2 linked regions of the Nothobranchius furzeri genome follow. The protein of the gene in region 2 interacts with the protein of the main gene of each other region in a biochemical or structural test. Links are inferred from orthologs where the notes say so. Each region holds a gene or a part of one and is shown on either strand. Other genes may lie near its edges.

Evidence for each region. The genes of interacting proteins can lie anywhere in the genome.
Region 1: the proteins of arhgef16 (region 2) and tax1bp3 form a complex in vitro, tested with the Homo sapiens proteins (2 studies listed by BioGRID and IntAct, with this or other methods). The link is inferred for Nothobranchius furzeri from reciprocal best matches to the Homo sapiens genes ARHGEF16 and TAX1BP3.

What each region holds. Positions count from the first base shown.
Region 1 is NC_091748.1:55,896,199-55,898,746, reverse strand, and holds the end of tax1bp3 (tax1-binding protein 3), read right to left. Parts: intron 2,010-2,548; coding exon 1,932-2,009; intron 1,844-1,931; coding exon 1,694-1,843; 3' UTR 522-1,693; downstream 1-521. UniProt on the Homo sapiens protein: May regulate a number of protein-protein interactions by competing for PDZ domain binding sites. Binds CTNNB1 and may thereby act as an inhibitor of the Wnt signaling pathway. Competes with LIN7A for KCNJ4 binding, and thereby promotes KCNJ4 internalization.
Region 2 is NC_091755.1:32,500,319-32,504,714, reverse strand, and holds the start of arhgef16 (rho guanine nucleotide exchange factor 16), read right to left. Parts: upstream 2,882-4,396; 5' UTR 2,799-2,881; intron 2,080-2,798; 5' UTR 1,870-2,079; intron 1,356-1,869; 5' UTR 1,328-1,355; coding exon 734-1,327; intron 395-733; coding exon 349-394; intron 1-348. UniProt on the Homo sapiens protein: Guanyl-nucleotide exchange factor of the RHOG GTPase stimulating the exchange of RHOG-associated GDP for GTP. May play a role in chemotactic cell migration by mediating the activation of RAC1 by EPHA2.

The DNA of each region.
Region 1 (2,548 bases), on a different chromosome or scaffold from region 2:
TTGGTCAATGCATAAAGGTCAGGAAATGGATTATTCGCTTCAAAATGTCAGTTGATTACTTTAAAGGTGACAACATGACTATTTGAAGGGCATGTGAGGTTTAAAAGAAGGGGAGTCAGAAATATTTTGAGACTATAATAATGTGTTTTACATTTTTTGTACTGGAAACGTTGATGTTAACAGACTTACTGTGATCATCTGAACATAATGACAAACTCAATTTTTCTACTGTGTGCAGAAGTTCTACTGGGTACCAAAAAGGGATGATTAGTCAATTATTGCTAATACGCCCATTTCAATGATCTGAAAAGGGAATTTTAGTTTTTTTAATTGTTTTACTGGAGTTTCAATTATGGTCTGTTGAGTGTAAAAAGGAAAAATAAATCTAAAAAGACGTCAATGCCTTATTTTAATGATTTGATTTGCCAGAGCACAAGACACATTAGGCAGAATGTGCCTTTAACTTTGTTGTGATGGAGGTAAACAAAGCATTTTAATATCAAAAACACATGCTACAAACCTTAGATGTACAGAAGTTTATTCAACAGTTTATTAATCAAATGCCATCAAAAACATACAAAATACCATGAAAAAGCATGACCCAATATCCACTGTCAAAGATAGAAAATTAGGAAATATGTACAGATTTGTGTTTAAGAACAATGGATTTGCTGTTTAAATGTGGGAAAAGTTGAATAACCTGTCATCTCTCATTTATTTTTGATACATGCTTAATAACATGAGATGATCAATCATTGGAGTTTTAAACAAACTAAAAATAAAGTAGAAAGGTGTTTGAGTAGGACAACGTTTTTGCATCCAAAGCAACATCCATAATATTCATTGTAGTTTTAAAGTTTTGAGACAGTAAAAGCTGATCAGGATTGATTTTTCTCTAAAAACAACAAATTATGTTTTTTTTCTTGCTAGATAAAGTTTACAAAAGTAATAGAACATAGTAAAAATAAAAAATACCACAAAGTGAGTGATCCAAAGCTAGAAACTCTTGTATCAAAAAGGAAGAAAAAAAACATACTGACACCAATATACACTTTGTACCTTTGTACAGGTTTTACACAGTATATGGTACCATTATTTTATAAATGATCACATAAGCTGCATTACATTCTGTATTATGGTCTTACAGTGGCTTGGTTCTAACTTTGGGATTTGTTCTAGTTTCACAGCAGAAAATAGACAAAAACAAAAAATAAAATGTTCCCAAAAATATTTAAGAATGATTTAAATTTGACTTTAAAAACAAGTTGAATGGGAACCATTCCATAACTTTGTTCTACACAGCAAATAAAGCTGCGTTCCAGGGAAATGCACTAGTTCTCCAAAAGCGTGGGTCTGTGTGATATTATGGAAATCTTGGTTTTCTTTATTAAGTTCTCTGCTTGTTCTCCTCTTTTTAAAAGATGCCCCAGATTTAGGATAATCTCATACTTTCAGATATCTCAACAGAGCTAAGAAGTGCAGGTGAGACTCTAAAAAGAAGTGTCAAACTTTCAGATTGCCAGCTAAACATCACACACACACACACACCTGATGTATTCTGAGACCTTCTGTTTTTTTTTGCATTGGTTTCATTACAATCATCTGAACATCTTCTGTGTACACGAGGGTTCTCAGTTCTTGTGTGAAGCTGCTGTTATAGTGGGTGTGTTGGGGGGGGGGGGGTGCAAAGACATCACGGTCTGGGATATTTGCCCTTTGACTGGTTGACTGCCTGTTCCAGTGACTTCCTGGTTATTAGCAATCGCACCACATCCTCCTTCTTCTTGGTGAGTTTTTTACGCGCCTGATCATGGGTCACCATGGTCATGTCCCAGCCGTTCACCTGCCAGGAAGAAGAACTACTTCAGAGGCACTTAAAGGAGGAAACAGTGCCATCATGTGGATTTATTTCCTCAACAACAATGACGCACCTGCATTATTTTATCTCCTATCCTTAAATCTGCCACTTCTGCCGGTCCTCCTGGTGTTATCCTGGTCACATAGATGCCCTGTGAACAAACACACCTATTAGCTCACATCATCAAAGCTGCAGACTCATAAATGAAAAATAAATCCACAAATCTGAAACAGGCCTAACAAAAAAGGTAATAAAGAAAATAAGTTCGGGTTAGTGTCCAGATTTTTAACTGTATCTTACGAATCTTGAAAAGAGTGTTGGATTAGGAGATTAATGGTAAGAATGGAGACTGTTACGGTTCAGACTAGATGTGTAATTTATTTCATTTAGCTCAAACTCACTTCATACACAAACCACTTCACTAATCCATATCATCTGTCCCAGAAAATCCACACAAACAATATTTTTTGCATCACATTTCACTCTTTATTATTTCTGAATACATACATTATCCTTAGCTCACAATGAGCTTTTGGTTTTGCAACAAGTGATTTAAAATAATGCTGAAATTGACATTTTCTGAACATTCTCAGCAGATTATCAGTGATTAGGTTTAACTTCAGAGTACACAACAACTTAAAAGAGGAAACAACTCGTGTTCCCTTTGTGTGAAAAATAAGCAAAAGCAGA
Region 2 (4,396 bases):
AACACAAGTTTTTAGTTTGTAATGTTATGAAATCAAGATCTAATACCGACAAATAAATAAAGAAGTGGAAGTGTCTAAAAGTTCATGACAAATGTCCACCCTGCAGGATGCAGACATTTGTCATTCAGAAAGACTGATATCCTGGTCCTTGTCCACTTCCTCAAGCCGTTTCCCAAGAAACGACACTTGTAAATGATTCCATCAAACCATTTTGTTTGCGTAAAAATTCCACAGCAAACATTTCTTCTAAAGATTAATTAGATGCATGTTTAGAAAAAGTTTCCACTACTGGGTAGTGCTGTAACCAAATTTAGCCGAGCAGACAGAGTGACACAAGAGTGAATGTACCGTCTTTGAATGATCCACGCTGGTTCCTCTTTCTCCCCAGGGTTCGCTACAGAGAGACATAGCTTGATTTTATTATTCAGTCTCAAGATCAACTCCTACTTACAGATATTAATTGCAAATTTTTTGATTAAAGTTCCTGCAAAAGCCTCTGTAAAAATGTTTGGATGTCATTCTGTCCCTGTGACTAATCAGCAGAGAGGATTGGCTCCTCTTGGCTGATTATCTGCTGTTTATGTCCCATTATCAAACTTTGCCACTTTGGCAGCAGACTGACGTAAAGGAAAAGACTAAACAAAGTTTTAATGTTTTGAAACTGCGTATAAAACCAGCTCCTGTTACTTGGAGGACTACAAACACATCGCCACACCACGTTTTGGATGTATACCTTGCGTCTAGCGCTACGAGCCGGTCCAGGGCTGCTCGCTCTATTTTCATCTACGGGTTTCAGAGTAGCGGGGGCCTTTCGTCCTGCCACCATGGCTTCAATGTCCAGACTGGTCACCGCTGCTCTGTACGACTTATTCCGGTTCCTCCTGAAAGCCGAGCCCTCTCCATCACTTTCACAATCTTCCCACCGTGCATCTGCCTCGAGGGCTGAGCAGCTGCTGCGGTTCTCATTGCTGGACTTCTCCAGTCCCAGTGGGAACATCACCACAGTGGTGTGGTGTCGGTTTTTAGGTCGGCTGGTCGCTGCTAAGTTCTTGGGAATCAGCTGGAAGGTGCCAAACTTCTTTGCTGCGGCGCTCTTGGTGCTCAAAACTACCTGCTGAGGCACTGCGGCTCTATCCACCGTGTCCTCCTCCTTCTGGGGAGGGGGTGGTTCACCTGGAGGGGTGGATGCTTCAGCCAGGGGAGCTGGAGGGCTTTCTGAGGGGTAACCTTTATCACCCGGCTCATATATATGAAGTTCCGTGGAGAAGCGAGTCTCCATTTGAGGGTTCTGGTTGTCCATGCATGTCTCTGATTCACCGCGAGACATAGTGTCCTGCAGCTGAGTCCTTCAACACCTACAACATCAGAAAAATGCTTTTAATAAATCAGGACAAAAACATTAACCCTAACCAAACTCAAATCTTACAGGCAGTTTGTTGTCAACTTATATTAAGGGACTTAACCCATGAGTCATGGCACACACACACACACACACACACACACACACACACACACACACACACACACACACACACACACACACACACACACACACACACTAGAAACTACAGGAAAATAAACTCCATTGTTTCTGATGAATGCCTCCGAACCTCCTGACCAACTCCAACATGTTATTACGGTCTTAAGATGGGAGCAAAGGCCAGAGCATGACCTCGGTTCTGACAGCAGTTTTGATCGTTAAAGTAAATAAATAACAAGCTTCATTTCAGATGTTTTCACTCGCTGGATTTAGTCTGAAACATCAGCGTCGCCAGAATGACGGAGTCGCGTGGGAGAAAAATGTCTGCCAGACATCTCCAAGCTTCCGAACTACGAGAAGACGCCGAGTCCAGGAAAGCGAGTCCTTACCTGAGAGGTGCGCCTCCGAGCGCGGCTGCCCAGTTCTGAGATTCGGGTCAGTCCGGCGGTTCTGCACGAGCTGAGCTGATAACAGCGGCTGTCGACTTCCGCCGCCCTCCGTCACAGTTCGCTGCCTGTCCTGCTTACGTCACTACAGGTGAGCGCCCGTCAAATCACCGGTAAACAACGGCTTTGCTTGTCTTTGGAGTGAAAACAAGCCTACAGGAAGCAGGTTAGCAAGAACACCCATTCACCTGAGATTGTTTTAGGACTATTTAGCACTTTAATAAAAAACACGTTTTTAAATACCTTTAGAGAGTAAATGTGTCTCCTTCAATAATAAAAAATTGAGACGAACACGTACAGTCAACTTCTCTGACCTACATTAAAAGAATTATTTTTGACGTCTTGGCTTTGTAAAAGGGTAAAAAGTGACTATTTGGCGTCACCACGTGTTCAATCTGCGGTATTACATCAATGACACAAGTACATTTAAAAACATTTTTAAAAATAATACAATAAAAATAAAAAAGTAAAACGCATAAAGTGTGCTCATTACTTTCTATGTAAATTAGAAGTAGTGCTTTTTAGATTTTTTTCTCACGTTTTAATTATGTGTTTCTGTACCATGGGTTTTTGTTTATTCGCACAAAAACTTGCTTTTAACTATGCAATAATTAGAAATTTGTGAGCAGTAAAAGAAAACAAAATGTGGGTTTAATAAACATTTATCTATTTTGCATGAAGAAAATATGTTGCAGAACTTCAGTTGAAGCTACATAAAACTAGTACATAATATTTAAATAACATACATTTACCTTGAGATTCTTATCATTTTAGTTACCTAATTGCAATTATTTCTAGCTAATAAAAATCCAGAGTTGATCATGTAAAAATAATGTAATATGCATATATGAAGTAAAATCAAATGTACAGACATGGACAAAATTGTTGATACCCTCCAGTCAGTTAAAGAAAAACCCACGATGGTCACAAACAACTTGAACCTGACAAAAGTTACAATAAATAAAAATTCTATGAAATTTAACCAATTAAAGTCAGACATTGCTTTTCAACCATTGCTTCAACAGAATTATTTAAAAAATAAACTTATGGAACAGGCCTGGATTAAAAGGATGGTACCCCTAGAAAAGACTGAAAACAATGTGAGCAAAGAGACAGGTGTCTACAATCTTGTAATCAGTCAGTGGGCGTGGGCTCCAGGGCTCCAGGTCACTATGCTATTGGGTAGTGATGATGAGCTGAAGCATTCCAGTCAACTGGTCAACTCTTGATTGATTGCTCTATTGTGCCATCAAGTGGATGATTCAAGTAAAACGGCAAACATTTAAACTGAAAAAATAAATGCTTATGATGGCAATATATTCTTAATGTCTTAAACTGTCCTTTTAATATACTGTCTGGTCCAAAAGAGAAAGGAACCTAACAGGACACAGAGTCTCAACAGCACAATGCGACAGGGGGAATCAGCAGTGTTTGGCTGCCCCTTTTATTTTGAATCCGGTGCAAACCGGCGAGCCAGTTCCTGAATCGGTCAAATGGTACCGACTGCCAACGAGGCCTCGAACGTCGCTGCTTATGTAATCAACACAAGCCTCGACACGCGCTTCACAAAAAAATCTTCCTGGATACCTGACACACGTTTCGAAGCGTCGACACATTGGACACATCGGACACATCACAATTTTTTGGTGACATGGTATGCACCACACTCAACATGGACCAGAGGAAGCAAAGGAAAGATTTGTCTTTTCTTTTTAACAAGCATGTTGAAAGGTAAAGGCTATAAGACCATGTCCAAGCAGCTAGAGCTTCCCGTGACTACAGTTGCACATATTATTCAGACATTTAAGATCCATGGTACTGTAGCCAACCTTCCTGGTTGCAGCCGCAGAAGGAAAATTGATGAGGAATCAAAGAGACAGATAATCCAAATGGTTACAAAAGAGCCCAAACTTCTAAAGCAATCCAAGGTGAACTTCAAGTTTAAGGATTATCAGTGTCAGATCGCGCCATCCATTGTTGTTTGAGTCAAAGTCGACTACATTGGAGACAACCATTGTTGAAAACAAATAATAAAAAAGCCAAACTACATGTTGACAAGCCACAACACTTCCGGGAGAATGTCCTATGGACAGATGAGACAAAAATTGAACTTTTTACCAAGGCACATCACTTCTATGTTCACAGATGGAAAAATGAAGCATATCAAGAAAAGAACACTGGCCCTATTGTGAAACACGGAGGAGGCGCTGTCATGTTTTGGGCTGCTTTGCTGCATCTGGCACAGGGTGTCTTGAATCTGTGCAGGGTACATGAAATCTCAATACTATCAAAGGATTCTAGAGAGAAATGTGCTGACTAGTGCCAGAATGCAGGTCATGGGTCTTGCAACAGGACAATGACCCAGAAATGAAGCTAAAAACACCCAAGAATGACTAAGAGGAAAACATTGCGCTATTCTAAAGTGGCCATATGAGCCCTGACCTCAATCCTATTGAGCATCTTTGGAAGG